Regions from separate parts of the Mus musculus genome. Here regions 2, 3, 4, 5, 6 and 7 are each reported to be linked to region 1. The links are microRNA targets in miRTarBase. Many come from high-throughput screens and were not tested one by one. Region 1 holds a microRNA gene; each other region holds the end of a gene's coding sequence.
Evidence for each region. Region 1 holds the annotated microRNA mmu-miR-3473c (UCUCUCCAGCCCCCAUAAUAAG, at 1,858-1,879, shown strand). A microRNA usually pairs through its seed, bases 2 to 8, with sites in the 3' UTR of a target mRNA and lowers its output. Matches are read on the target gene's strand: a 7mer-m8 pairs with bases 2 to 8, a 7mer-A1 pairs with bases 2 to 7 and ends in A, and an 8mer does both.

Region 1 (4,417 bases):
CATATGTATATGTATGTGTTAGTATGTCTAGGAAAAAAAAAGGAACCTATCACACTATTAGTTCTGACATTTTCCTAAACAGAGAGCAATAGGGTGGAATTAAGACTATATGGGCAAGGCAGACAGATTAATATCCTCCATGTGAAAGATCCATAGAGTGTGTAGGCTCTGCCTGCTCCTGCCCAATCTTGACCTCCTTACAGAAAGGAAACTTTCTTCTGAGGGAAGCAAGGCTAAGGCAAGAGGGCCACAAAGTGCATGTGAATACATGGAGGGGAGACTTTAGACACATCGGGGAAAGCTCAGAAATTCACCAGAGGAGTCCAGCCTGGAAAGGAAGAAGAAGATGGCAGCTGCTGACTCTGCCATGTCCACTGAACCCCCTCTCTGGACACTGCCACTTCCATTTCATGAGTGGATCATTCTATGTGAAATGTTTGTGTTAAAATTCAGTCAACACGCTACAAATCCGATGTCTCGTTTCCAAGACATATTCTCTTTTTTGTACCGCAAGGCTCTCACCAGTCACACGGACAAGTCAGCTTGGCTGGAAGCGCAGGTGCGGCAGCTGCTACAAATAGTTAACCAGCAGCCAAGTCGACTTGATCTGAGGTCTTTGGTGGATGCGGTTGACAGCGTGAAACAGAGGATCACCCAGCTGGAAGCCAGTGACCAGAGATTAGGTACGTGTGTGTGTGTGTGTGTGTGTGTGTGTGTGTGTGTGTGTATGAAGCAGTCGGGTTCCCTCTCATGGCTTCCCTGTCTGTGTGCATTTGTGGTAGAAGCTAACAAGTCACAACCAGCTTTCTGGGTTGCCCAGTGGCTGAATCCTGTTTGTGAAGCAGCATGAGATTCTAGCTGCCTCAGAAAATGAGGGTCTCCACCATGTGTGTGGAGTCAGACGAGACTGAAATGGCCCAGGCAGTCCCAAGAGCTGGGAGTGGTAATCATTAAGAACAAGGGAGAGAGGTGATGGGTGTCTTAGGCTTTGGTGCACTGGGGCCAGTGAGATTGCTTAGCAGGTGATTTGCTATGCAATCGAGATGACCAGTGTATCAGTGGCTTCTCTGTTGCTGTGACAAAGCACCATGACCAAGGTAACTTGTAGGAGGAAGTGTTATTTGGGCTTATGATTGCAGAGAAATAAGAATTTACCACCATCTCATAGAGAAACAGCAGGCAGGCAGGCATGGCACTGGAGCAGCTGCTGAAACCCCAAGCCCAGTGACACACCTCCTCCAACAAGACCACACCTCCTCCAACTAGACCACACTTCCTCCAACAAGACCACACCTCCTCCAACAAGACCACACCTCCTCCAGCAAGACCACACCTCCTCCAACAAGACCACACCTCCAACAAGACCACACCTCCTCCAATAAGACCACACCTCCTAATCCTCCCCAAACAACCCACCAACTGGGGACCAAGTATTCCAATGCTTAGGACTTAGGACACACAACTCATTGAAACTATAACACCCAGAGTTTGATCTCTGGAACCCACACAGTGGAGAGAAAGAACCAACTATTGAAAGTTGTTCTATGACCTTCACATGTATACTATGGTGTACATGCCTTCACTTACACACACACACACACACACACACACACGCACGCACGCACGCACGCACGCACGCACGCACCACCAACAGTAACAACAATAACAATAATAATAAGACTTTATAAAGATATTTATTTATTTGTTTTATGTATGTGAGTACACTGTTGCTCTCTTCAGACACACCAGAAGAGGGAATCAGATCTGATTACAGATGGTTGTGAGCCACCATGTGGTTCCTGGGATTTGAACTCAGGGCCTCTAGAAGAGCAGTCAGTGCTCTTAACTGCTGAGCCATCTCTCCAGCCCCCATAATAAGTCTTTTAAATGTAAAATTCATTATAGGAGTTGGGGAGATGGCTCAGTAGATAACACACTTGCTGCACACATGACCTAGAATTTGGATCCTTGTAGCCATGTGATTGCTGAGTGGACTGGAGGGCTACCTGTGGTCCTAGCACTCTGGAGGCTGACACAGGATCTCCAGGACAAGCTAGCCAGAATATCAGGGTTTAATTCAGTGAGAGAACTACATCAAAAGACTGAAATACTACTGGGGAAGACACTCAGTATCAACCTCTGGCCTCTGTATGCCACAAGCACCTCACAGCCAAACACATGCAAGTATGCACAGACACTTACATCACAAGCACACTCGTGTGCATGCATGCACACACACACAAACACACACAGTTAGACGGGCACAAGGCTCAGCATGAGAATTCACTCGAGGTGAATGTCCAATGTGTCTTATACTCAGGCAAGCTGAGAGTGAAGAGGGAGGATACATCCATGTCTGCTTGGCGTCAGCTTACCACGATTGAGTTAATGTTAGCAATGCATGTAGTAGTTCACAGGTAGTGCTCAGATGACAGGCCCGAGCTGCAGCCTCCTGTCCTGTGTTTCCTTCCAGTTCTTTTAGAGGGGGAGACCAGCAAGCACGACGCACACATTAATATCCACAAAGCACAGCTGAATAAGAACGAAGAGCGGTTTAAGCAGCTGGAGGGCGCCTGCTACAGTGGCAAGCTCATCTGGAAGGTGACAGATTACAGGGTGAAGAAGAGGGAGGCCGTGGAGGGGCACACAGTGTCCGTCTTCAGCCAGCCTTTCTACACCAGCCGCTGCGGCTACCGGCTCTGTGCCAGGGCGTACCTGAACGGGGACGGGTCGGGGAAGGGAACGCACCTGTCCCTGTACTTTGTGGTGATGCGCGGTGAGTTTGACTCGCTGCTGCAGTGGCCGTTCAGGCAGAGGGTGACCCTGATGCTTTTGGACCAGAGCGGCAAGAAGAACCATATTGTGGAGACCTTCAAAGCTGACCCCAACAGCAGCAGCTTCAAAAGGCCAGATGGCGAGATGAACATTGCCTCTGGCTGTCCCCGCTTTGTGTCGCACTCTACTCTGGAGAACTCCAAGAACACCTACATTAAAGACGACACACTGTTCTTGAAAGTGGCCGTGGATTTAACTGACTTGGAGGATCTGTAGTGTTACCTGATAAGGAAACTTCTCAGCACAGGAAAAGGTGTGGCTGTCCCTTGGGCGCAGCCCTCTGGACTGAGCAGGCTCTTGTTCTTGTCTTCCTGCCTCCGATGTCTGATGTGTCATCTTTTTATCTTGGATCCTTCCCTGGTTTGAAACTTTAAACTCTTGAAATATTGCTGTTATTTATATTTTTGTATCTTCCAAAAAATTATAATAATTTGACAACAAGGCCTGGGGCTCCTCTCTCTCACTGAAGTCTGGGAAGTGTTTTCAGGGAGTCCAGTGCTCAACGGGACTGATACAGGGGCAGAATTCCCACTGACACTCGTTGTCATTTATCAGCTGACTCAGTGCTTCCACACCTGAGCCTAGGCCTGCAGCAGCCATCTTGTAAGAGACAGGCAGGCTGTGCCAGTCAAGTGTGGGCAGTGTAGCTACATATGCTGCATTTGGACCACAGATCTTCAGGGAGATGCCAACCGCTTGGAAATCGCATCGCCCTTTTGTGTTTTATACAGGATCCACTAGCTGCATGTAAGCACAGTTTGCCAAGTTGTATAACAGCTAGGAAATGGGTCGGCTCTTCGTCCTTCTCCACTAACACAATGGGTGCCAAGGAGTGGATGTTTAGTGAACCGAAAGTTCAGAGTTCATTAGGTTTGACCAGGTGAGAAGTATTTTCTTAGGTAAAATTGTCAACTATACCAGTTCACACAACTCAGCCAGGTGACCTTTGCATGGCAGTGGGTGTGAGGATGAGCAAATTTGTTATGACAGAGAAAAATATGAGAAAAGGACAAAAGGGGAACCTGTTCACCATGGATAGCAGCTGTCTGAACCCTTCTGTTCTTCTGGAAGAACTTTTAAATTCATATGCTGACCAAAAAATGAGCATTTGTAGAAACTTGCGGAGTTTCCTGTCAACATTTTGAGTGCTCTGAGAGCAGAAATGACCGGGTTCTTGTAGATCTGTCTTTGCAGTGGTTCTCAACCTGTGAGTTACGACCCCTTTGGGGGTCAAATGATCCTTTCTCGGGGGTTGCCTGAGACCATCAGAAATCACAGATATTTGCATTACCATTCATAACAGTAGCAGAATTACAGTTATGAAGTAGCAACAAAAATTATCTTATGGTTAGGGGTCACCACAACATGAGGGGCTGCGTTAAAGGGTCACAGCCTTGGGAAGGTTGAGACCCGCTGGTCTTTTGGGTCTGTCTGTCCCTTCAGCTCAGTAAGCCTCAGACTGATCTGCCCTCCTGCCCTGACTGAAAATGGGATCCGTGCCATCCTCCACTGCTCATGTAACATTGGCTCCTAAGCACGGAAGGACAAGTGTCCTGGGACAAGGGTCACGTTAGAGGCACAG
Region 2 (4,417 bases), not on the chromosome of region 1:
GTAAAAGGCAGACAATTGCTATTAGGGGACAACTTCTAATGCATGTTTAGATTTGTCTTGAGTACATATCTGCTTAGTGGAATGAAAATCAAAACACTAAGATGCAAGCAATCATGACATGACTTAGGAATAACTTTTCATGGAGACTCAGGGGTACAGCCTTCACAGCGGTCCTCATTGTGTTGCACACCTCCTGTTGCTCAGTGGTAATGAAAAGCTCCTGACAGAACTGTGCTGTGGCTTCCTCCTCTGCAGCTTCTACAGATTTTCAAAAACGTTTTCATTATGTACTCACTGTTTCTTGGGGGAACTTCTTGACTTTTATTTATTTATCTGGGCTATATCTACCCTTCCAGTCTTAGCCTTTCTATTTTTAAAACCAGGAAATCTCTAGGGACCTCATTCACCTGACAACTGTAAACAGTTGGTTTAACTAAAATGTTGGCTTTTCTTCCCACAGTGAAGATTTCCTTTAAACATTCAATCATGTTCGGCTACACCTCACTCAGACCTTTTGATATCAGACTTCTCCATGAAAGCACATCTCTGGATTCAGCTGAAACCCATCGTGTTTCCTGGGGAAAAAAGAGCTTCTCCAGGGGAAAATACTACTGGGAGGTGGATTTGAAGGACTATAGGCGGTGGACTGTAGGAGTCTGTAAGGATCCCTGGTTAAGGGGGAGAAGCTATGTGGCGACACCCACAGATCTATTTCTTGAGTGTTTGAGAAAGGACGATCATTACATTCTCATCACCCGCATAGGAGGTGAACACTATATAGAGAAGCCAGTTGGCCAAGTTGGCGTGTTCCTTGATTGTGAGGGTGGATATGTAAGTTTCGTGGATGTAGCCAAGAGTTCCCTCATACTCAGCTACTCTCCTGGAACTTTCCATTGTGCTGTCAGGCCTTTCTTCTCTGCTGTCTACACATAATCATAGGAATCCAGTATGCTAGTGCTTTTCTAGTACTTCTATGATAATGTGTCCCCTCTTTATTGTGATGGTTTGTGTATGCTTGGCCAGGGGAGTGGCACTATTAGAATGTGTGGCCCGGTTGGAGTTGGTGAGTCACTGTGGGTGTGAGCTTTAAGACTCTCATCTTAGCTGTGTGGAAGTCAGTCTTCCACTAGCAGCGTTCAGATGAAGATGTAGAACTCTCATCTGGGTCTTTACCATGCCTACCTAGATATTGCCATGATCCCACTTTGATAATGGATTGAACCTCTAAACCTGAAGGCCAGCTCTAATTAAATGTTGTCCTTTATAAGACTTGCCTTGGTCATGGTGTCTGTTAATAGCAGTAAAACCCTAACTAAGACATGTTAAAATGATATTAAGGGATGGAGAGATGGCTCAGAGGTTAAGAGCACTGACTCTTGGTTAAGGGACTGTTCTTCTGAAGGTCCTGTGTTCAAATCCCCACAACCACATGGTGGCTCACACCCATCTGTAATGAGATCTGATGTCCTCTTCTGGTGTGTCTGAAGACAGCTACAGTGTACTTACATATAATAAATAAATAAATTTAAAAAATATAAAATGATATTAAATGTAAAAGATGGGTGACTGCTTCTTATCTGTGGTCCACCTGTTCCTCCTAGAACATTTACTTTTTTAAAAATATTTTATTTATTATGTGTAAGTACATTGCAGCTGTCTTTAGACACCAGAAGAGGGCGTCATATCTCACTATGGATGGTTGTGAGTCACCATGTGGTTGCTGGGATTTGAACTCAGGACCTCTGGAAGAGCAGTCAGTGTGCCCTTACCTGCTGAGCCATCTCACCAGGCCAAACATTTACTTTCAAAGTAGTTATTGCTTTTTGTTTTTGCATATTTGTGAGAATTACTAATTAGAATCTTGGATCTAGTGTAGACCTAGAACTCAGGATGCAGAGTTCCCAGAGTTCCAGCACCATTTAAATATTCTGTATCTGTGTGATTCTAAGTTAATGACGTCAGGCAGAGGCACAGAGATCTACTGTAGGCAGATTTGTTGATCAATAAAAGCTTGAATCCCTATTTGATCTAAACAAATAATTATTTACCAACTGGGATAGAACAACAACAACAAACAGGCTCTCATCGTTCAGAGAGGGATTTTTTTTTCCTGAAAAAAAGGAAAGTGAGTTTCCCCCTCTTTCACGTCCTTTATTTTAAACCTGTTTTATGTTGGGGACACACTTGAAAAAACTTTAATTGTCTCCAACATAAAACAGCTTTAAATATTGAATATTCTTCCAGTCTCAGAGAGCACACAAATGTCTTTTGACATTCAACAGGTTCTCTCTTCTGGAAACCCCTCCTTGGTCATTTGCAAGAGGGTCGTGTGTGGGGCTGGTGAGATGGCCCAGCGGTTAAGAGCACCGACTGCTCTTCCAAAGGTCATGAGTTCAAATCCCAGCAACCACATGGTGGCTCACAACCATCCGTAAAAAAAATTCTGATGCCCTCTTCTTCAGTATCTGAAGACAGCTACAGTGTACACACATATAATAAATAAATCTTAAAAAAAGAGGGTCGTGTGCACCTGAGAACACTGAGAGAAGTAGATTGTAATGCCCATCCAAGGCCATTTTCTTTCATGATTCTAGACTTTCAGAAATGAAGCCTCAAATTTTTTTGGTTAGCCAGTCTAGTTCCCTCTGCTTTCTCATGTTGCTTCGAAAGGCATAAAGTTATACTTCTTAATATCCCAACATAAGATTTGACTCCATTGACCATTTGACTTCTGTGACACCTAGGCTCTGACCAGAATATTACACCAAGGACTGTGCAGAGACATGAGAACTTAGGTTGCTCCTTTAGGAAGCATATTGCAAATATTTTAGAAAAGACTAAGAACACAGTAGACATAAGAAATGCCATGCGACTACTACTTAGCACCAGGCATGCAGTTCAATAAGATCACAAAACATAGAAGCATTAAGCTCAAAGGGGATGAGGTGTTTTGTTTTTTCTCATTTTTTTATTAGAAAAAGAGAAAGCAAATGTTGGGGTTGCATTTATATCATGTACAGGATTCTGGAGAATTTCTAAATCCCCCAATTTCTGGAAAGTTTACATTCCAGTCATAAAACCTCACTTGATGCATTGACAATATAACAGCTCATGTAACCCTCAGGAAACCTTGTGGAAGAGGCAGATACATCCTAAGAGCCAGAGCACCAGAACATCTGCTTCTAAATAGGCACACAAGGAAGAGGGATTTGAAGGAGGGCCCATGGGTGCATATACAATATATGAAATTGCCTTAAATTAATAAATGAGAGCTAAAAAGCAAATCAGTTTAGCAGTCAGGGCAGCTCTGTGGCTTATGTCCAGGCCCAAGCTCCTCAAATGTACTTTTGTGGGCAAATGGCCTTCACCTTGGCCACATTTAGAGCATATAGAGTATAAATCCTTTCCTATTTAACTATTGTGGTTCTTTTGAACTCATATCTAATAAGGTAAAACACAAAGCTCATGTATATACATTTTAAAATTTATTCTTATAATACTGTCAGATCATAGCTTCTCCTTTCATTTCTCCCAGTCCAAGCCTGGGTAAGGCAACCCAGTAGGAGGAAATGGGTCTCAAGAGCAGACAAGAGCCAGATATCTACTTCACTGTTACTAGTCCTACAAAAACTCCAAGCTAAAAACCATAACATGCCGGGCAGTGGTGCCTTTAATCCCAGCACTTGGGAGGCAAAGGCAGGCAGATTTCTGAGTCTATACAGTTGAGTTCCAGGACAGCCAGGGCTATACAGAGAAACCCTGTCTCAAAAAACCAACCAACCAAAAACCATAACATGCAGATATAACTTAAGCACATACCAATGTTCCAGGGTTGCTGCTTCAGTCTCTGTGAACCCCCAGGACCCTTATTTAGTTGCTTCTGTTTGCTGTATTATCCTAGTGTCTCTGACCCCACTGACTCTTATAATTCTTCCTCCCCCTTCTTCCATGGGGTTCCTAGATCTCTGAGGGGAGGGACCTAATGGAGTGCTCCAATTTGGGCTCTCTCTACATCTCATGCATGGCTGTCAGTCTTTACATTGGTTCTAATCAGCTTCTAGGGAAAGTGTCTCTGATGACTATTGAACTAGGCCTCAATCTTTGAGTATAGCAGAATACCACTAGGGATCATTTCATTGACTTATTTTTCCTACCCTAGGTCCTTGGCTATCCAGACTCCAGTTCTTGATGATCCAGGCAGTGTTGGGCATGGGCTTCCTCTCTTGTGGGCTTCGAATTAGACCACTCATTAGTTGGCCACATTAGTTCTCCTTCATTGCCCCAGCACATCTTTCTGGCAGGATAGGTTGTAGGTCTAAGGGCATTAGCTGTGTTCATGTTGCAACCCTACCACTGTAAGTCACTTGGTTATAGAATATGGCTGGTTCAGGCTCTGTATCCTCCATTACTGGGAGTG
Region 3 (4,417 bases), not on the chromosome of region 1:
GCACACGCGCACACACACACACACACACACACACACACACAGAGAGAGAGAGAAAGAGAGAGAGAGAGAGAGAGGTACTCACTACTTGAAATGATGATATATACCATGGCACAGATGAACCTTAAAACTAAGTAAACAGACACATTGCACATCGCATATAACATTTATGAAAGGTCCGTTATAGGCAAATCCACAAGGACAGAAAGATTAGTAGTTGCCAGGTCTGAGGAGAGGTGAAGGAGGACTGCTAGTGGGAACAGGATTTTTCTGGTGATAAATATGTTCTAAAACTGATGATGATAATGGTTCCACAGCTCTGTAAATAGACGACAATCAAATGTACACTGTACAAGGATAAACTGCATACTATGTACGTATCTCTCAAGTAAAAATTTGCCCCCACTACAATGTGTAGAATGAAGAGGGAGGGTTGAGAGAAGCTGCCGCAGAAAGGAAAGACAGAAGCAGGGGAAGGAATCATGGAATTATGATAGAGGAGGGCCAGAGGCCATCAGGCCCCTCTACAAAGAAGAGTAGTAGGAAACAAAGATGAGGTATCTGCAATTATTATGAAGCAGCAAAAGGGCATTTAATAATCTCCTACATATAAAGACTAACCCCACATGTACAGAAAGTGCCCTGAATAAAGTATACCCAGCTGCCTGCTGGGCTATCCTGACTACTGTCACTCCTAAGCACATAGGGTTCAAGGTGTTGAAGCTCTGGGCAGCTCTGAGAGCTGGCTGGAGAGAGAGATGCTGGGCAGACCATCACTTTAGGCAGTATGTACGTTTCTGGGTTGTCTGTGCTGTAAAAACTGCAATGCTGCTCAAGGGCATCTTTCCTGGTCAGCTCAAGGAGTTAGTTTTGAATACATACTGCCTACCTTCCATAAAGTCCTCCCCTCATCTCTAGCAGGAGGTTGACAAGTGCTCAAAGACCCTAGGCAAATGGGCCTGGGTTGCCAGATAGAACAATAAGAAAGCTGAGGATGGGTTGGGGCTCTAGACCCCACAGGCACATCTTCAACACACTGGGAGAACTGGAGCCTGTAAACGGATGGGGTGAGTCTCTGTTCACAATCTCATGGCCACCTTGTTCCCTGACACTTTGGCCACCTCAACAGAAAAACATGCTGCAGCCACAACTTCCAAGAATAAAATACCACTGAGAGATATCAACAAAGCCAGAATCTCTGCACCAGACCATTTCCTTGCTTCATGGGGAAACCAAGGCTCAGGCCCAGTGTGTAGAGTCCTGGTTGGCATCCAGGTCTCTGTTCTCAGGCCATTTTTCTTCTTACTCTACCAAAGTCTGAACCTCTAAGAACCTGACTGTAAGCTGTGAGCTACAAAGGGCAAGATAAACTTAGAAACCTTGGAGGACTTAGGTCTGAACTGGCAGAGAAATTAGAACTACCTTTTTCTAGGATCCTCAGAAGCCAAACCACTTTGGTTATATGCTCCCATCTTTCTGGGGGTAGGGTGGAGATGGGGGTGGGGTGGGGTTGCTAACCAAATGATACATATGATACAGTTTTGTTACGACTTAGTTCTGAAGTCTTCTGCTTCTTCATGTGCATCACTGTTCATTCACAGTGTAGGCAGCCACCAAGGGACACGTGCTCAACCACAAGTCAAGTGCTCTGTGACCTACTGGGCACAGAACAAGCCGAGCAGGTGAAGAGCTTGACATCCCAAAGGCATGCTTATGCACTCAAGTGAAACACCACTTTTAAGCCTGTAGAGCAATACAGTATTAAATACTATAAAGTAAAGTCAGATGAGAAGCCAAATAATCTACTTACTCCCTTTCCATGGTAAAATCATTTGAAAGGAGAATAAACATAAACTTACATTTTCTGAAACTACTGTCTTATTTGCTAGTTTTGAATAAGTCTTCAATAATAAGTCAGAGACACAAAGAGTGAATTCTCAGGGTATCATTTCTAGAAAAGTGGGAATAAACAAGAGCCCATCACAGATGGACAGCAGTTTCTTTCCTACAGTGGCCACAAAGCAAGTTGAACTCAAGTACAACAGACCATACAATTGGTACCATTCAAAATAATGACACTCCTTTCTTTGCCTTCTTCCAAAGTATATAATGTATATTTAACAACACAAAAGACACCACTTGAGCTTCCCCTTAGCCAACAGGAGGAATATCCACATATAAAAATTAAAAATTTAAACTTTTAAGTCATTAATAGTTTTTAAACATAATACAGACTTAAAAATTGTTCAACATCAACCCAAGACCCCACCCCTAAGCACAGAAATCAACTCCAAATCCAGAAGTCACAGTTGTTTGTCCCTAGAAGTCCTACAGCACTGAACTTGGTCTTTACACCAGGCTACCAGCCAGCAAAAGGCTCTAAAAGACTCCCCCCGGGAGGAATGGAAGCCACTGCTGACTGCTGCTGCAAGCATATCTACTCGGGAGGGTCTCAGGTCAGGTCTGAGAGACTTAGCCACCACACTAAGGCCCTGGAAGGCTGAGCTGGCAGCTTCCCTCATCTTCCCCCTCAAAGACTGTCCAGTAAGCACCTGAGAACTGACTTTTCTTGGAACAGGGTGCTGGCAAGATCTGTCAGGGCCAAGGCAACAATGAGAAGTTCAGTTCTCGGCTCTTTGGATGACTGTGTAAAACATTGCTTTTAAAAGACACAATGTTAAAAATATTAAGAAAATGTCTACAAAATCTGGAGGGTTGCCTTTAACTCCAAGGGTAAAGCTTGTGGGGTGGTGGGGAAGACTTGAGGACCCAGAACTGTAACTCTGCAGCACAAGACAGAGACACCCTTCCTTCAAAACTCATCACACTCTTAAGCTGTCCTACTAGGACAGCAAGTGTTCAGGGTGCAGGTAGGAGGAAAGGGCGCCAGCTCCTGCAAGGGAGGTTCCCACTGCACGCCCCACCTTATGTAAGAATGTCAGATTTAAGGGCAGTTGCCAAGGCCAGGGCATCAGGACTCTGCCTCTGAACCAGAGCTACTTTCCCGGCTGACTTCAATCTGGAGCGAAGGCAAGCTATCCAGCCGACTCTTCTTCTGGCGAGACTCTTCTTTCTCCTTGATCAGAGCACCCCATGCTCTCTGAAGCTCCGAGTCATCTTCCTCAGCACCAGATGCCCTGTGATCCACTTTCTTCGTGTTCTTTTCTTTGGTCTTGGGTGTAGATCCTAAGCGAGTCCACAAACCACCTGTTGGGGTGAGAAGACACTTCAGTTGGCAGTCGATGCCGAGTACCAAGTAGTTCTGTGGAAGTAAGGACACTGCCAACACCTGCTCTGCAGGAAACATCGGGAGAGGTGCTTGGTGCCAGTCTGTAAGTGGACAGCCTGAGACTCGATGGGAGATGCTCACAGCTCAAGGCTGGTGTCCCCATACCAGGCACAAACTAGACACTTGCCTCTCTCCCAGGCTGTGTACCCCTCAGTCTGCCAAGAAACCGCCAACTCTCACATTCTGCAAACTGAACGGGTCTGTTTTACTATGAGCAATTCTCAGGTTTTCAGCTATACATTTTTAAAGTGTGTTTATGTATTGGCTGAAGGCCTTATTGGTTAAGCGTACTTGTTCTTGCAGAGGACCTGGTTATGTTTCCAACACCCACATGGTACCTTACAACAGTCCATAACTCCACTTCCAGGGGATCCAATGCCCTCTTCCCACCTCCAAGGGCACCAGACATGTACACAGTACACAGACAAACATGTAAGCAAAACATAAAAAAAATCCCCCAAAAGAAGTGTTTTATTAAAACCTTACAAAGAAGCATGTGTTTAGAATGTGGTGATATACATATACTACAAGATAATTAAAGGTTTAATTTACTTATGAAGAGTAAAGCAAAATGGAAGAGTTATAGAAAAAAAGGCTACATAAAAAAAAACTAGATATATGTGTGAACAAAGAAACTAAATAATGTGAAACTAAAAAGCAGCAAGGATGTATAGCTTCTCCTTTCTCCTTCCTGAACTTTCCTGTAGGCATGGTGCTGATGCTGATGTAGACAAAGGAAGTCATGCTAACTGAAGAGGGAACAAACACAGACCTACCTACTTCTTATGCTATAACCACTGGTCTCCACTCCTTCCCTTCCATCACTGTGAAGTGTTACTCACCTGATTTCCTCTCCCGAGTATCAGAGTAGAGGCCTTTAACATCTTGCCTGGGAACACCTAGCCTACTATGTACATCTGAAGAGGGCTCTCTCCGAACCACCTGGTTACTACTAAAAGCCTTCTCTGGAGAATACGGTCTTTTTCCTAACCGCTGGCGAATATCTGCCAAAAGAGAAAAAGTATACCTGTTACCAAGCATACGTGTTTTACCTCAGTACCAATGAACTAGGCTTTTGTCTTAGCCATGGCTGCCACTGCTGTGACAAAATACCACGATCAAAAGCAACCT
Region 4 (4,417 bases), not on the chromosome of region 1:
TGTGTGCTTTTTACCGTGTTATCCTACAGGAGCCTGGCAATGCAGATACTGTAGGCCTTACTGCCAACAGAAGACAAGACAGACCTCTGCCGTGCTGTGCCCCAGGGTAGCCCAGTCCCTCTGAGCCTCAGTCAGCAGGCCCCTAGGGTGTTGTTGCCCATTGCCAGGGTTCCAAGTGTCTTCCAAAGCGATCGCAGAGCTAATCAGCATAGCACAGCTGTAACAGCCACAGACACCCTTCTTCCATTTAAAACAACAATGAGGGCTGGAGAGTCAGCTCAGCGGTTCCGAGCACTGGCTGCTCTTCCAGAGGTCCTGAGTTCAATTCCCAGCAACCACATGGTGGCTCACAACCATCTGTAATGGGATCCAACCTTCTTTGGGTGTGTCTGAAGACACTGTACTCACATAAAATAAACAAACCTTAATATATATTTCCTTCCTTTAAAAAAAAAAAAAAACACTATACAGTGTGCTGGGTGTGGTGACGCACACCTTTAGTTCCAAAGCTCAGGAGACAGAGCGCTGTGAGTTCAGTGTCAGGCTGGTCTACACAGCAAGCTTCAGGCCAGCCAGGGAGAAATAGAATCCCTGTCTCATAAAGAATTTTTTTTGTTTTGTTTTTTTGTTTTTTCTCTGTGTAGCCCCAGCTGTCCTGGAACTCACTCTGTAGACCAGGCTGGCCTCAAACTCAGAAATCCGCCTGCCTCTGCCTCTGCCTCCCGAGCGCTGGGATTCATACGTATCTAATCATCTGGACAGTCACCCAGCGTTTAAAGTGGCGGGGGGATGAGAAACGTGGGACCTTAGCACACTATCACACTTTGTGGGAAACAATGAGGGCATACCTTTGCAAAGTGAGAGTGAAAAGGGGGAGAGACTGAGCAAACTGTATTACAAACAGTCTATATTGAAACTGGCCGGGCCCCAGGTGAGCCACCGCCAAGTCCTGTTGGCACTGGCCTTGCCACCCTCAGCCGTGGCAATCGAGTGAAGACTTAGCTTCCTCTCTGAAGTGGTAACATTTTTATTTTCATGACATCTTCTATCACAGTGTTCTGTGAGGGTGAGACAGGAGTGACTCAGAGCACGTTCCATACTCGCCCATCCCATGAGCACACGCCCAAGCACGCAGGTACACGGCCTTCCTCTGCAGGAACCCTTACCGCCTCAGAGGACTCCCAAAGACTGCAGAAGCTCAAGCCTGGAGCAGAGGTGTGTCTCTGTCACCATCCCTGCCATGTTGACTTAAAAGGTGCCTCCCTTCCTGTATCTGTCTGAAGTCTAGCCAAGACCTCATTCCCCCTGTCAGCCCTGTTCTCTGAGACTGTCAACAACATAGTTGGTCGGAGTAGCCACTGGGGGAGGCAAAACCATTCTGCGTGAGGATAAAATCTGAACTAAGACAACTATCATTAGTACTAAAGTTCACATGCTCCCAAAAGAGGGCCTGACTGCTGGCCGTCTGTGACTGTGGTTCCCCACATCTGGCAGGCATGGGGAAGATGGGATCTGACAGAAATAGTCACTGTGATTACCCCTGGCATGAAAACCAAAATGGCTCCTGCGATCTTGAAGACAAAGATTCTAAAAGACAGCAAGAAGGGACTCTTGGAATTGTATCAGCCCATGTCTTCAAACACTTGGGGAAGAGCTTGAGGTTGGCCAGATCACTGGCTATACACATGAGCCAAGGTGGAGCTCTCTGAGGATGCCACGACCCTTGCCTGGTGAAGCCAATGGCATTCTCAACCGCCAGCTGCCAAGTGCACCACAGTACCATGGTCTTGAAGCTCACTTGTAGCTTCTAACAGGAAAATACCACAAGGTAGCTACTACACAGGCAGGTGAGTAGCTCTGAGCTCCTGCCTCAGGTACCTTAACATGGACAGCAATGTGGAAACTGGAATCCAGAAACAGGGTCATGGACCTGAGACCCACACTGCCTGGAATCGCCTTTAATAACGCCATACTTCCCCAATTCTTTTAAAAATTCATGGAACATGAATGGCAAAGTTACCACGACCTGCAATCAAGGTGGACCCCTTAAAGATGGGGGACAGAACCCCACATCTCAGGCCCCAACTCTCCCTGAGCCTTATTGTGCTTTAAGTTCTCCTTTCTGGGGAGTGTTGCCTCTGGCAGACCCTACCTAGGAGCCGGAGAGAGCTTGCCAACCTCATGGTGGCCTTCCGTGGGTGTCAGGGGACCCTTCAGAGCACGATGCCCACATCTCCCAGCAGCTGCCAGTTCTATCTTAGCAGAGGGGCTGGTGAGTCCATACCATGTGTTATCCTTTAATGAAGAGCTATAGCATCAATGGGTCACTGCTCTCCCCAAGGCTCCCCTGAAGCAGCTGTCCCTCCCCACCAGCCACCTGGAAGACAGGGTGGTCCTGAGGCACCAACCCTGCTGAGGCAGCAGCAGCCTAGAAATGCATCTCTTTCTCTCTCTCTCTCTCTCTCTCTCTCCCCCCCCCCTCTCTCTCTCCTGGGAATTGGCAACAGGGAACAAGGACAAAGGAAGCGAAACTTGAGGTCAAGGAGGATGGATGAAGAAGACAGGAAGTGGGCGGGCGGGTTCTCTTCCTTCCTCTGTGATTCCCAATGGGACATAGGTCAGTGCTCAAGAACAGTACAGTCTCCCCAGGGGCCTGGAGGGCCTACCAGACATTCTCTGGAAACCTTAAGTCCCCAGCTCCCTGCAGGCTGGCGTCACCCAGGAAGTAGGTCAGAGAGTCACCAGGCTTGGGGCAGGCCTAGCACTACCCACTGAACCACTAGGTCCCAGGCCTACAAGGCAGGTCCAATGGGGCTGAGGCTATGAGCTGGTGCCACCAAGAGACTGGGAGCCACCTTTCATTAAACTCTGCTTGTCAGTCACTACAGGCATCTACGAAGGTGGTGGCCTCTCCCTTGAGATTCCAGGGCTGCCCAGGAGGTACAGAGACAACAGCAGGCAAAGACTCCCTGGTCCTTATAGATCCGTGACCTTGTTTTCCACAGCAGCGGCGATCTGCTGGAGCCGGTAGCCCAGCTGCATCTTCTGGGCAGTGCCATCCTCCTCCAGGGCAGTGATGATCTGAAAGGCAGGACCAAGAGAATCAGAGGAGACTTATCTGGTCACCACAGATAGCATTTGGGCAGGGTAGTCAATGGGAATTCAGTGACTAAAGACATAGTGGTGAGGCTGACTGTAGGTCTCACTGGTGAGGGTGAAAACAGAACAGTCGCCTGGGTTGTTTTCTAGGGTGTTTGAGGCATGGTCTCAGTATAGCCTAAAACTCGAACTTCCTGCCTCTCCAGTGTTGATACAGTTGAGCACCCACACGCAGACGTTCAAGAACAGGCTGCCAGGGAATGACACTCGCCACTCACCACCTAATGCTCTTTCCTCACCACGCTCATTTTGTGTAGAAGCCAGCCTCACATAACCACTGGCTTTCTCACAAGGTCTGTCATAGCCAACCCCATTGCCCTTCCTGACAGCTAATGGCATTTCATGATTCTCTGTGCCAAGACCAAGAGGATATATTGAGGCAAAAGAACAACCCAAGAACCACAAATGAGGTTGGCATGAAGGAACAGGCGGCAGGCAGAGCTTGGGGAGAGGAGCTGGCTCTCCTGTGCGCCAGCAGGTGAAGGCTGCATCAGCTCTGCACCTCTCCCTGTGCTGAGGCTGGCATCAAAGGAATGAGGCTGTGGATCCCTTGGTTGTTACCAGGCCACTCAGCTGAGACCACAACGCAGGTTTCCGTGTTCTCAACGATAGGCACATCACTGGCGCCACACGACTGTGGTAATTCTATAGGCACTCATAGGTTGACTAACAGTGAAACGGACGCACTTAGACATCAAGGCTGGTCAAGAGAGGCCCGAGAAAGACCCCTCCTGGTTCTGTGGTCCACTCATCTAGCCTCGTCCTGTGCTTGACACCTCACCCTATGTCTCCTATGGCTTATGACACCCAGGCCAGTCTGTACCCACAGAAGCAGTCATGCCCAGGACAAGGCCAACCTTGGGATCTGGGAGGGATGGTAGCTAGGTAGTCTTCCGGCATATCCCACATACCGTCTCCAGATCCTGACAGATTCTCCAGATGCCCCCAACCACTACCACCATGCCTGGGCAAGCCCCACTGCAGAAGCATAATGGGGGATTGTGGGCACAGGGAGAGCAGAACCAATGTGGGACCCTCACTCAGCTTCCGAAGAAGCACTCTGAGCTCGAGGCCAGCCCTGCAGTGGGGCCCAGCTGTGCTCACCTGGTCATAGTACTTGTTGATATACTTGTAGAGTTCATGCAGAGCCACTCGCGCCCCAAGGTCGGCAGAGCAGTTCTAGGGAAGAGGGCAGATGGAAGGGAGGGAAATGAAGAGGCTGTAGTGGGGAAGAGGCCCAGGACCTCAGCGAAGGATG
Region 5 (4,417 bases), not on the chromosome of region 1:
CGTGAAAATGACTTCATTGAAATTGAACTGGATCGACAGGAACTCACCTACCAAGAACTGCTGAGAGTGAGCTGCTGTGAGCTGGGTGTTAATCCAGACCAAGTGGAAAAGATAAGAAAGTTACCCAACACTCTGTTAAGAAAGGTAAGGAAAGTCTGCTCAGTGTGAGTGGTTGCTGTTTTCATTTCAAGCACACTTAACTTCTCCCTTGGTTATTGAGCCATAGCTTAAGTGGAAGCCAATAAAAAGGACAAAGGAGAGCCAAGGCCAAGGCCAGGTTAAAGCTTGTGCTTGCTATGTGCAAGGCTCTGAGCTCCAGCTCCAGCCTTACTGTAATCACTCCATAAGCTTTCTTCCCCTTCCTCTGAGTCCACAGAGAAGCCCCCACCTTACTCATGTATTTCTTTCCAGGCAGGGTCTTGATGTGTAGCCCTAGCTTGCTTGGTATTTGTTGTGTGTCTCAGGCCAGCCTTGGATTTATGGCAGTCCTCCTGCCTCTGCTTCTTGCCTGCTAGGATTAAATGTGTGAACGATCATACTCTAATACACTGGCACTTTTGAAGGTTGGAAGATAGCAGGATGTTACATGGGCCTGTTTCAGTTGTTCCCATAGTAACCTGTAGCCTTATGCCATATGATATGCGGCCCACCTGGCATCTTTGTGATGCTCCAGCCAGCTATGGGCTCTCCAGCATCAAGCTTCTGGCTTCTCTAAGTTCCTGAGGAAACCTGACACTCACCTGCCTGTCCCTTTAGGGCATTCTCATCCTGCAACAGAGACAGAACTTTCTCCTTCTTGTTCAGATTAAATGTGGGGGCTGATCACTGCTTAGCTGTCTCAGGGATTTAATTTTCCTTTTAGATTAAAGATGAACCAAGACCCTGGAATTAATACAACCAACCAAGCATAGACACAGACTGCTGCTATTGCTCTGTTGCCTTGGGCTGGCAAGTTGGCTCAGTGGGTAGAGGCACCTACTGCAAAGCCTGAAGACCTGAGTTCTGTCTGTCCCAGGGCCCCACATGGTGGAAGGAGAGAACCAGTTCCCACAGGTTGCCCTCTGATCTCCACATGTGCATTATAACACAAATGTGTGCACACAAAACGAACAAATGTAATAAAGAGCTAACTAAATGAAAAGAAAATTTTAATCCATTACCCGGTTTTGTTTCAGGACAAAGATGTTGCCCGACTCCAGGACTTCCAGGAGCTGGAACTGGTTCTGATGATAAGTGACAATAATTTTCTGTTTAGAAACGCTGCATCCACACTGACTGAGAGGCCTTGCTATAACCGGAGAGCTTCAAAACTGACGTACTGATGCAGCAGGGACTTCATCACTGAGTACTGTGACAGTATGTGTCATCTCTGGGCCAAAGGACAAGCCATTGATCCCAAAGCCTCGTATGCCCACCAGGGCCCCTGGTGCCACTGCGTAGTGTTCACTAACACCCCGCCTCACCAGGCAGGAGCCCCGACCCCCCAGCAGCGGTGCCACTCTTCCAAGCCTCTTGGTGCACAATAAACTATTGCTGAATCTTTGAACAGCTGGAAAGTAGTCTTGAGAGGCAGAAGCCGAAGGTTCGAGAGCCAGTGTTTAATGTGCAGGATCTAGAGAGTTGTCAAAGCAGAAGCTGAGAGCGCAGACCTATTTCTAGCCACTCCTGTTGACAGTGCGCCTGAAGGGCCGGGCGTGCCTCTCTTGGTGTTGCATGCTCGTGACACTCAAGAAATTTTGAACTGATGAGGGAGGAAGACTGGGGAAAGAAAGAAAGCACACACAGGTACTGGACAGAGGGATTCTGGTATGACCTGTGGCTGTGAGGTCTCATATAGCATATTTATAAATGTTACTCAGGTTTAAAGTATTTAAAATATAGTTACCTAATTGTAAATAGGCTGTTAACCAAAAGAGCTTCCCCTCCCCCAGTTTTCTTTTATGACCACTGATGACTGCGGCTGTCTCGACAGTCATCTTCACATCTGCTCCCCTCCACAGTCACTAGAGGGCTCTCTAATGCTTTCTAAAGGAGCCACCACCTGCTCCGTGGCCACTCCTGTCACCCTGTCTAATTGCACCATTCAAGAAGAGCACAGGCGCTGTTGGACAAGGCGCCCACCACTCTCACTCCCTCCAGGAACAAAGAGCAGCTTTTGAGCCCGGACTTGTTGCTGGTTTAAAGGTTATTGTGGGAAACTGAACTAAAGGAGTTAGCATCTTTATTTTTGTATCAAAGATAAAGGTTATTTTGAAAATTATTAGGGTTTTTACATAACTCTGGAATCTGTTGCTTTTATAAACAAATTGTTCAATTTTAGGAATTCCCCGTTACCTCCACAGTCAGTTGTGAGGGCCTGATTAGACTCTGGAGCATGGTGTACGACTCTTCTCCAAGAGCGCATGCAAGAGTCTCCCCCCCTCAGCCTCATTAAAGACGAAAAGCCACCTCGGTTTGCTTAACTTTAGATAGATAGGACCTGGCGCACACAAGAGCAGGAGAACAGGGCTGGAGCAGCTGTTGACGGGACCCCTGCTGTCTTAAGCTTTTCCCCATAGTGCCTATAGTTTCCAAAGAAACTTAACTTCCTGGGTATTAACTTAATTTTATTAGAACACTGCAGTTGACTGAAAACATGCAGATGCACTGGAAGAGAACCTTGTGCTGAGGTAATGGCCTCCCACTGCCGCCTGAGTGCTGAAATGAGCTTGAGGTGTTCTTCAAAGCCAGTGTCACTGTGTGGGTCACTGTGAGGTGACTGCATGGTGCCTGGCCCTGGCACAGCTGGTGACTTCCCTTGTAGAGTGTTTGCGTAGTGGAGTGGCTGTGGCTCACCACCCCCTTTCCCAAGTGCTTTAATGAAGACACCTCCCTTGTGTTTCAACCAATCAGAAACTACTTTAACTAAATGTACTAACCTTTTTCCCTCCTAATTTGCTTTGAAAAAGTTTAGTAATTCAATTAAGCGTGATTCTATCTTAGAAGAAATAAACTCAGTATTAATTCATGTCTAAATCACTGGGGTTGAGACTCCTTCAGCCTCCCTGGTTGATTAGAGATTCTGAGAAGCAGTAGAGCTGGCTGGGAGGTGGGCTACAGAGGAGCAAGCAAGCACTTCAGACTGACCAAAGGTTGTGGTGGCCCACATGGCTCTGCCCAGTGTCCTGTGCTTTGCCACAGTCCTCTGGGGTCAGTGTCTCGGGCAGTGGGATGGAACTGTGTGATTGCTCTTAGGTGAGTTCCGAGTCTTAATCTATGCATTCAGAGAAATATTTTTATATGCGTTGTGTAATTTATAACAAGGGGTTTTCTTTTAGGCTTTGTTAACTGAATGCTCCTCTCCTCCTCCACTGCATAGTTAAAGCATGTGTTCACACTGTGTAAACATTCACAGAAGACTTTTCCTCGTGTGTTGTTGACTCTTTAAACATAACAGGTATTATTAAAATTAACTGTTAACTGACCCAGCCCATTCTCTCTCGTTTTGCCCTCGTTTTGCCACTGTATTCTAATCATAGAGGGTTCAAATTGCTGTGAAGTCCCATGGGGCTGGCGCTGTGGAGGAAAAAGAGGACCAGATCCCCAGCCGAGTGTCTGCCACCCCACTGTTGCCTGCCTCTGCCCTGTCACGAGTGTCACTGTCTCACCCCGTGGGTCGTGTCTGGAGATGGATTCTGTGTGATGTCTTCCCTCCCAGTCACTTGGTTTCCCTGGAGTCGCTGAGCAGCTAGATAGAGGTCATCCCCTATTAACCACAGTTTTTGATTATCCTATTTACTTGACACAACCGAGCCTCCCCTTTGGGCTGTCGGCACCTGTCATGGCCTCAGTGAGTTCAGAAGCGAACTCCCAAGACAGGAGAGGAGGCACAGCCCGCCACCTTCAGATCTCTAGCAGGGAAGGACGCTGAATGAATCTCCTGTTTGGTTTAGGCCTCCCAGCACCTCACAAAGCAGACGTCATGCCAAATTGGCCTAATAAATCAGCACAGCAGAGACCTTTTCTTAGCACCAGGGAGAGGCAGAATAATTTGGGCATTTGTGCTCTCATACTTGCTCTATCAGAAGGATGGAAGTCGCCTTCCATACACTCATAAACATCCTGGGCAGAAATAGCCTGCCCAAAAAAAAAAAAAAAAAAAAAAAAAAAAAGTGATTAACCTTTAACAAATGGTCCTGCAGCATAGGCCAACCCGGGGCATATAGAAAAAGCAGATCAAAGGCGCCATCTCCTTGGTGACTGCCAAGCACTTAGGGTGGGGAAAGAAAACCAGCCACCACCCGCACGCTGTCAGTCACTTCTCACCGACAGTAAGGGTACAATTGAGGGTGAGCTCGAAGGCTGAGGAGGTGACAGGGAGGTTCCTTTCAAGTGCAGTCCTGGGACCAGATGGACTGTGCAGAAAAGTCTTTTGTTG
Region 6 (4,417 bases), not on the chromosome of region 1:
ACAGTTCAAGGTTAGCGACTGGACCTGGGAGGACCGAAAACACTTTCCTTTCATCTCGTCCTCAGTCCACCACGGCCCCACAGTGGCCCAGCCCATCCACTTGGACAGTGCACAGCTCTCGCCGAAGTTCATCAGTGACTACCTCTGGAGCCTGGTGGACACCACGTGGGAGCCAGAGCCTTGACCTCATACCTTGCACAGAACTGGGGTTGAGGGAGCCAAGGAGGGGATCACTCTAAAATTAAATGTCTGTATGTGAGTGCGTTCATTGATTTATCTACTTGCTTTGAGACAGCATGGAGTCCAGGCTGGCCTGCAGCTTCTTTTTTATTTGTAATTACATTTACTGTATGAATGTTTTGTCTGCATGTGTGTCTGTTAGCTGTGTATTCCAGGAGAGGTTAGAGAGGGCTTCAGACCCCCTGAAACTGGAGTTATGGGTGGTTCTGAGCTGCCATGTGGCTACTGGGAATCGAACCTGTATTCTATAGAAGAGCAGCCAGTGCTCTTAATTGTTGAGCTGTCTCTCCATCCCCTTAATTACAATTTTAAAAAATGTGTGCCTAGCCGGGCGTGGTGGCGCACGCCTTTAATCCCAGCACTTGGGAGGCAGAGGCAGGCGGATTTCTGAGTTCGAGGCCAGCCTGGTCTACAGAGTGAGTTCCAGGACAGCCAGGGCTATACAGAGAAACCCTGTCTTGAAAAAACAAAAAAAAAAAAAAAACAAACAAACAAAAAAACAAAAACAAAAATGTGTGCAGTTGGGGCTGGAGAGATGGCTCAGTGGTTAAGAGCACACTGATTGCTCTTCCAGAGGTTCTGGGTTCAATTCCCATCTGTAATGGGATCCGATGCCCTCTTCTGGTGTGTCTGAAGACAGCCACAGTGTACTCACATACATTAAATAAATACTCTTTTTAAAAAAAAGTGTGTGTGCAGCATGGTGGGTGTGTATGTGTGTAACAGCTTGCTGGAGTTGGTTCTTCTGTGGGGGTATGTGCATGAGTATGCTTGGTGCCTGAGGAGGCCAGAGTTGTCAGATCCTCTGAAACTGAAGCTACAGCTGGTTGTGAGCCGCCTCGTGGGTACCGGGACCCAAACTCTGTAAGAGCAGCCAGTGCTCTTAACAGCTGCGGCATCTCTCCAGCCCCTCCACACTTTATTTTTTTGAGGCAGGGTTTGAACTCCAAGGATTTGCTTTCTCCCACTGCCCCAGCAGTTGGCCCAGGTTTGGGGGTTTGACCTCAGGTCCTCCTGCTTCGATTGTAAGCAGTTGGCTAGCAGCCACCTTGGCCCACTCTCCCCCTTTTTATGAGGTCCTGATGCCAAGCTCGTCACTGGAAGATTCTCAGGTTGTGCCCAACTGCTGAGCCACATCCAGAGCCAGGTCACTCCACCTCACCTAGTGACAGCTGTATGATGTCTTAGCTTTTGGGGACACCATCCCCGACCTCACTGGATTCCAGTAGTGTCCTGACAACAGGAAGTGTCTGAGCCATGGCTGAGTGTCCCTTGGGAAGGTCACATAATACAGCTAACGTCTGCAGGACTAGCATTAGTCCACATTGCCTGCGGAGTCACTGCTGTGGACTTGTGTTTTCATACCAGTGTGAGACGGTGCAGGATAGAGAACTCACGGTTGTACATGCTGACCTGCAGACCTGGTGCCTGGTGGAGAACGTAGCCATGGAGTTCAAGGCTGCCAACATAGCCAAGCTGGAGGGCTAGGGAGATGGCTCATGGGTAAGGTTCTTGCCATCAAGTCTGATGGCCTGAGGCCTCACAGGATCCAAGGGCCCGTATTTGTCTTCACCTAAATAGCACCTTCTGCTCTTCCAAGGGATCTGGGTTCGATTCCCACCATCCACAGAGTTAAATGTCTTTAGCTGTAGTTCAGGAGATTGGAGCCTTCTGACTTCATCATGTGCCAGGCACACACAGTGTGCAGACACATGTAAGCGAACCACTCATAAAATACATAAATCTTACCAAAAAACCCAGCAGAGCAGCAGGAACCAACAACGAGGCTTTGCACAAGAAGGGCAAGTGCCCAGCTGCTCAAACTCCTGACCCTCTGGTGGCAGGGGAGCCTCACTCCCTTCCCTGGAGGAGCACTGGGGGCTGACTCCAAGGTCCAGTGAGTGAGGACTGTGGCCCAGCACCCTGGAGAGCCCCCAGCTCTGCATGCCTAGGCTCTGAGTCACTGCCCAGCACTGGCTGGCTGCCTGGGACATCTTGGGGCCAGGCCACAGCCTCCTGCCCAAATTCCTACCCACAGCCTGACTTGCTCCTTCTAAGAGAACCAGCCAGAAGGAGGAGCAGTCCTGAATCTAATTTACAGATGAGGTAAACTGAGGGACGGATCCATCTGGCCATTTCCCTTAAGTCCCAAGACATTATATGAAGTCCAGGGGTTGACCCATTCACCTGTGTTCTACTGCCACCAATCCCTAAGGCACATAGTGTCTTCCTCTGAAGTGTCACCAGGACTAGGTGGTTTTTTAGGACAGTGGTAAGAGCACCCAGCAGGTGGCCAGCCCCTTTCTCCAGTCTCTCCCTCTTTCTGTTGGGGTTAGCTGCAGTTAAGAGCTGTTTCCTTAAGCAGGAAAGATGCATAGACCTAGGAAATGAGCAGGAGGAGCCAGGCAGCCAGATTTGAAGGCTGTCTCCTCATGACACAAGGGCTGGGCTGGAGGCTGGAGAGATGGCTCAGTGGTTAAGAGCACTGACTGCTCTTCCAGAGGTCCTGAGTTCAAATCGCAACAACCACATGGTGGCTCACAACCATCTGTCATGGGATCTGATGCCCTCTTCTGGTGTGGCTGAAGACAGCTACAGTGTACTCATATAAGTAAAATAAGTAAATCTTTAAAAAAAAAAAAAAAGCTGGGCTGGTGTGGGGGACAGGATCGGTTGTCTGTTATGGGCATGACCACACTTGGACTCTACCTGTGACCTCTGTTGTTGGGGCCACTCTCACCTGGATCTCGGGACCTCCTAATAGGTCCTTTTTACTGTGTGTCTGTATGGAGAGTCACAGTATGTAGGGAGGTAAGTGCAGGCCCCGGGGTGCAGGCATGCTTGTGAGAGGTAAGGGATCAGTTCTCTCACCTTTACAAGGATTACGACCAGATCAAACTCGATCACCAGGCTTGGAAGACAAGCGCCCTTACCTACCCTTTGAGCCACAAGCACATTCAGGCTCCTGCTGGCTGAATGGTTCTGTGGCAGCCATACTTGTAAGTGGCTGGAGCTATGGAAGTATGCCTGGCTGCGCGCATCATCTGGAAATGGAAACTAAACCCAGGCTGGAGATTTGTCTCAGGTTTCACACCTGGTAGGTGTTTGAGCTCCGGGGTGGGGGTGGGGGTGGGGGGACTCTCAATCTCCTGCTAGGAAGGAGGTCAGCACACCTGGCAATAAGGAAGTGACAGGGGATAAAATGCTGGGGGGGGGGGGGGAGGCTGGGAGGGTAGAGATGGTGACACAGAATAATGCTAAGCTGGGAGCAAGCTAAGGACTGCCACCAGGCAACCGCAGAAAGCATCTTGATCAATCTGGGCCTGCAGTCCACAGTATAGGGGGAAGATTTTCCAGACAGCCAGTGGCTCTGCTGAGTAAGAGACTGATCTAATTAAGCTCCAAGCTTCTCCCACACACTCCCTACAAGGCCTGGCCAAAGGGCGGGACAAGGGAAGGACAGAGCTCCTCTAGGGCAGGAAGCAGATTCGAGTAGGGGTGTCAGACAAGACACAGGAAATCTAGGGAGACTTTCCCCAGGCAGGCTGAGTAGGAGTGATATTCCTGAGAACTTAATCTCAGAAAACCACAGTGGGAGCTGGAGCCGCAGCGGGCGCTGGGGAATGCTGGCTGCCTAGCAGAGCACCCTTCCCACTGTCTCCCCCGTGCCATTCCCGCTGGGGCTCCAAGCTGGCTCACCACACACAGCTGTGGGCTCAGACACTGTGAGTTGGAAGGGACCACAGCCTGGGGGGCTGGTGGTCAGCGGGGAACAGCAGTTCGTGTGTCAGAAATCAGCTGCTGCCTGCCATTCTTGTCCTGGGCAGAACTGAATCCACAGAGACGAGGCAGGCAAGACCACCATCACTTGCCCACCCTGGGTCAGATAGGTACTGCACACACGGGTACACATCCAGGTCTTTCACTGATTGCTATTCTGAGCCCAGAGAACTGCAGGCAAAGAAGACGGGAGAGCAGAAAAGGGGACCCTGACCCAAGTACCTCCCATTCCCCTCGCTAGGTAGGCACTGCACAGTGAGTTAAACACCAGCCCTTCAGTGCCTGTTGGTAAGTAAAGTGTTTTTAAGACAGAGTCATGGGCCCCAGGTTGGTCTGAAACTCACTATGTAGGGGAGGATGACCTTGAACTCCTGATCTTCCTGCCTCCACCTCCCCA
Region 7 (4,417 bases), not on the chromosome of region 1:
TATGCCCATGATTAAAATATAAATCTTTCTTTTTTAAGAAAAAAAAAGGCCACTATTAACAATAATACATGTTTTAAAAACAATTCTGCACATTAGAGATCTCACAGTAAATAACTCAGTCTAGTTCTGCTTAAGGTAACGGAAACTCTGTTTCATTTATGTGTTGATAAGCTTCATTTTCATTCCTGGGGATGATTTTCAGATTAATTTTTTTCTGTTTTGGGTGTTTAGTATTTACTTATATCCAACTAAATCACTTTCTCTGTTTCACAAATTCCACTTTAACGTCAGTTAGAAAAGTTGAATTAGGACTGGAAATGCCGCATGGTGGCACACACCTGCAGTCTGAGCACTGCAGAGAACCAACTGCGAGGATTGCCACAGTTGAGGCTAGCCTGGTAAACACTGCCATTTTCCAGGCCAACCTGGACTATACAGTAAGGATGCCCCATTCCCCCATACAAATACAAGGAAACCCCAAACCCCAAACAAACAAAAACCACCTTAAACTGATGCCAGGGGCTTATCGCTTGTAATCCTAATACCTGGGAGGTAAATGTAGGAGGAGCTTACGTGTAGGGCCAGCCTAGGCTACACACCTAGGCTTTTAAAATCTACAGACAAGCCAAAGCCTAACGCTGACATGTTTAGGCCTGGAAGGCGGTTTGAATCCTAGAGAGCTTTGCCTAGATGTCCTGGTGCCCTGGATTTCATGCCAGTACTGCAACCCACCAAGACAATGTATTTTCTCATTTTGGACTTCTTGTGTATCATGGAGTGACAAAAACTGTTTAATGTTGAAACCTCAGCTATGTTAGTTACTAACCCCACGTGCTTGTCTGTTGCTGTCTAGAAGGAAGACCTGGAATCCCAAGAACAGCTCCCCTCTCCTTCACCCCCCGCTTCCCAGGTTGATGCTGCTATTGGGCTGCTAATGCCCCCTCTGCAGACCCCTGATAACCTGTCGGTTTTCTGTGACCACAATTACACTGTGGAGGATACGATGCACCAGAGGAAGAGGATCCTGCAGCTGGAGCAGCAGGTGGAGAAACTCAGGAAGAAGCTCAAGACGGCCCAGCAGCGGTGCCGGCGGCAGGAGAGGCAGCTCGAGAAGCTCAAGGAAGTCGTCCACTTTCAGAGAGAGAAGGACGACGCGTCCGAGAGGGGCTACGTGATCCTACCAAATGACTACTTTGAAATTGTTGAAGTTCCAGCATGAAAAAATGAGATGTGTTAGTGGGACAAGACTATACACCTTCTTTTAGCCTACATACAGGAGTTCATTTGAAAAAATAACACTTAATTACTTGTATTAAAAAAACAATATTTTTTTAAAATAAATTAGATATATACTGTAAAATTGTAATTTTTTTGTTTGTAATTTCAGAGTTTCTACATTTTAACAAATATTTAAAAAATCCTTAAACCACCAATATAATGTTGTATATTGGTTTCAAGATGGTGGATTGTTTTTCATTTGAGTATTTATAGAAATAATGTAAAAATAAAAAGTAGAGAGGGTGATGGTATGATAAAATGATTTAAGTTTAAAAATTAATGCCCTTTATTGAGATAACTTATAATTTAAATCAGATGTTTAAGTGAGAGCATAGGACAGAGCCTTTCAGAATATAGAGGTATACATACACACATTTTGTATTTATAGCCAGAGCTTCATTTATTTTTCTCAATCACTTATCAAAAATGAACTGTCAAGCCAGTATTTGAGGCAAACAATATTTTGCTGTCTTCAGAAAAATCATTCCATAGTTAATAGTTTCATAAAGAGTAGTTTTAAGAGTAGATCCTTTTTGTCCCTAGCGTTATGAAATTAGAAGTGTGTCTTGGGGAGTGGCAGGCCTCCAATCAGGTATTGGCATCAGTGAAGAGAAAATTGGGGGCGGGGCTGGAGAGATGTTTCAGTGGTTGAAGGTTCGTGCAAGCCTCGCTGCCTGGGTTTAACCCCTGGGGCCCATGTAAAGGTGGAAGGAGAGAACCACTCCACAGAGTCACCTTCAGGTCCCCATGTGTGCTGTGACAACCTTCTAAAGAAAGAAAAGTTGGGACCTGGCTCCTAATATGCTCTGATCATCCCCTGGCAAAGGCACCCGATTCCACAGCTGTAGTTAAATCTGCATTCAGACCTCTGACAGATTATTTTAGTAGAGTTTGGTTTGTACTATAATACCGTACTTTGCCCTTTGTACTTAAGTCTTTGATAAATTTTCCCTTAACTGTATGATTTTGGACAAGACATTTCATAGAAAATATTTTTTTCAACTCTTAAGTTAGAAGTTATATCCAATTTACTCCAAGTGACTTACGTTCAAAAGTAATGTGTCGTGTTTGTGTCGCCGTTGAGACTTAAATATTGCAGTTTCTGTTCACACTGTGGATTGTGTTCTGTGAGAAAGGTTACGTATGCTTCAAGTGAAAATATGTTCTGAGTGGACAAGTGCTGATAAAAGAATTCTCTAGGTGTAGGAGAACCGTATTTTATATCTCAGAGGACACTGTAGCTGAAGAATAGCGGACCTTTCAAGACAGTATTAAAGACATGTTATTCCAGTATCTTGTGGCCCTGCTTTTTTCTTTCTGATTTACTACCATGCTGAGAATAGGTAGCACTTTTTTTTTTTTTTTTTACTACATGTAAATAGCTTATAATTGCGTAACGCTGGCTGGGAGGAGGAGCTAGGTACTCAGATGAGAGTCCAATAACCCCGCCCACCCACTCTTTCTAAAAAGGCTGATCAACAGTCTAATCCAGCTATGATGATCTTTTATAAACAAGCACAGCTAATCTTACGAAGATGTGTTGTAGACATTTTTAACCCCAGTCTGGAGTTCCTACCCGCCTTTGACCATTCAGTTCCTGGATAGAAGACACACAACTTATTATTTCCAATAAGCCTTAAGCAGCTCAAGAGCTGGGCAGACACCTACCCTCTCTGCTATTAGAATATACGTTTCTATCGATAGCCCCGAGTTATTACTTAAACAGTGTTTCATCAGGGCTGCTCTTAACTCCAATTGGTCAGCCCTCAGCCCGTTTCCATGGCTCACCTAAACCATGCTGGCTTCTTTCTCCTCACCTTCTGTTCCTCCGGTGGTTCCCCTCCAACCCCAAGCCCAGGAATCCTAAACCCTAGCAATTTCCCTTCTGCCCAGCTGCCAGCTGTCTGCATCGATATTTCCCAGTCAGAAATAACTTGGGGGCAAGGTCACATGCCACGGTTACTAGGGACTCTAGGTTTTTCGGGTTGCACTTAGCCTTACAATACACAGAGCAAGACCAAACCTCAACAAAGATGGCTGTTGTTTGGCTCAGAGGACATGACTGTGCTTAACAAAAAGTTGACTACGTGACTTTAATGAAAGGAAGCAGAATCCTAACAACATACACAGGATAACTGAGTGAAGTTATATTACCTGTGTGCACAGTGATAAACTATGCAGCTTCATATGTTCTCGGGTAAACCTTACAGAAAACACAGGATACTCTGTGTAGTACGTGGAGTCCTTTACCATAACTGTGCTTTTGGTTTGAAATGAGTATTTGTAGCAAATTTATAGATAAAGCAGACACAGAGCAAAACGTCATCACATTGATGTTTATGACATGCAGCAGAACTCAACAAGAAAGCCCTGTGGAAACTAATGCTGGAGTTACCATTGGGAGACTTTAAAAGAGAGGATTCTCTCTGTTATCTCCATAAGAGAGCATCCCAGGAGGTATTTTTACTATGGACATCTTTGTACCATGGTATAAATAATGGTACACACAAAAGGTAATGCTCCTTTAAAAACAGTGAGCTCATGGGACACTGGACAAGAGCCCTGTTGTTCAGTCCAGTGACAACTAACTGGACCCAAGCCCTGTCTTCCTTGTCCCCTGTATAGAGTGGTTCCGATAATTATTATCACCTGTTGGGTCGTGCCTTGGAAACAGACTTTAACAAGAGACAGAACACACGTGTGTGTACTAGAGTCTTATACATGATAACAACACTTGGTTTTAAATTTAAAAAAAAGATTTCTTTTACAGTGTATTCTATATTTATGTCTCAACTGATGAGAAAAACAACTTTTAGCACAAGAATGCCAATTTATTCCCCTTCCCCACTTTTTGGACACATGAACACAAAATATCCCTGCAGGCCAAAAAAACAAAACAAAACAAAACAAAAACCAAAAAAACAAAAACAAAAACAAAAAACAAACCAATAACAACAACAAAACCTCTCCAAAATTTAAACAACCGTTATCTTATTTCACGGAAAGTACCTCGTATTGCTGGAGACAAACATCCAGTCCAAAGTAATAAAATACATTTGAAAACACTACAACTCTAACCATACAGAAACCATACCGTTAGTCAGAGGAACAAACACAAACATTTTCAGCCAGTAGACCC

Region 2: miRTarBase lists Trim43b as a target of mmu-miR-3473c. Seed matches in the 3' UTR shown: 8mer at 1,342-1,349.
Region 3: the mRNA of Ncbp3 is a reported target of mmu-miR-3473c. The part of its 3' UTR that is shown has no 7-base or 8-base seed match.
Region 4: miRTarBase lists Plxnb1 as a target of mmu-miR-3473c. Seed matches in the 3' UTR shown: 7mer-A1 at 2,485-2,491 and 7mer-A1 at 2,466-2,472.
Region 5: the mRNA of Ankrd40 is a reported target of mmu-miR-3473c. The part of its 3' UTR that is shown has no 7-base or 8-base seed match.
Region 6: the mRNA of Spc24 is a reported target of mmu-miR-3473c. Seed matches in the 3' UTR shown: 8mer at 769-776.
Region 7: the mRNA of Thap1 is a reported target of mmu-miR-3473c. Seed matches in the 3' UTR shown: 8mer at 1,908-1,915 and 7mer-A1 at 1,989-1,995.

The regions. Positions count from the first base shown.
Region 1 is chr1:191,996,064-192,000,480 of GRCm38, reverse strand. It overlaps Mir3473c (microRNA 3473c), which reads left to right and starts at 1,847; the gene lies at 1,847-1,927. Traf5 (TNF receptor-associated factor 5) reads left to right here. Exons shown (of 14, transcript NM_011633.2): 13 at 513-683; 14 at 2,474-3,278. The coding sequence ends at 3,051.
Region 2 is chr9:89,081,760-89,086,176 of GRCm38, reverse strand. Trim43b (tripartite motif-containing 43B) reads left to right here. Exons shown (of 7, transcript NM_001170884.1): 7 at 461-1,553. The coding sequence ends at 933. Among named protein-coding and RNA genes, the nearest start is that of Gm40542, 3.5 kb to the left of the region's middle.
Region 3 is chr11:73,077,728-73,082,144 of GRCm38, reverse strand. It overlaps Ncbp3 (nuclear cap binding subunit 3), which reads right to left. Exons shown (of 13, transcript NM_025818.3): 12 at 4,129-4,290; 13 at 1-3,204. The coding sequence ends at 2,969. Among named protein-coding and RNA genes, the nearest start is that of Itgae, 11 kb to the left of the region's middle.
Region 4 is chr9:109,116,504-109,120,920 of GRCm38, reverse strand. Plxnb1 (plexin B1) reads right to left here. Exons shown (of 38, transcript NM_172775.2): 37 at 4,264-4,338; 38 at 1,006-3,081. The coding sequence ends at 2,977. Among named protein-coding and RNA genes, the nearest start is that of Gm39423, 3.9 kb to the left of the region's middle.
Region 5 is chr11:94,338,378-94,342,794 of GRCm38, forward strand. It overlaps Ankrd40 (ankyrin repeat domain 40), which reads left to right. Exons shown (of 5, transcript NM_027799.2): 4 at 1-144; 5 at 1,176-3,470. The coding sequence ends at 1,322. Among named protein-coding and RNA genes, the nearest start is that of Gm51871, 12 kb to the right of the region's middle.
Region 6 is chr9:21,751,944-21,756,360 of GRCm38, reverse strand. It overlaps Spc24 (SPC24, NDC80 kinetochore complex component, homolog (S. cerevisiae)), which reads left to right. Exons shown (of 5, transcript NM_026282.6): 5 at 66-927. The coding sequence ends at 184. Among named protein-coding and RNA genes, the nearest start is that of Spc24, 6.2 kb to the left of the region's middle.
Region 7 is chr8:26,161,581-26,165,997 of GRCm38, forward strand. It overlaps Thap1 (THAP domain containing, apoptosis associated protein 1), which reads left to right. Exons shown (of 3, transcript NM_199042.2): 3 at 854-2,571. The coding sequence ends at 1,219. Among named protein-coding and RNA genes, the nearest start is that of Thap1, 5.6 kb to the left of the region's middle.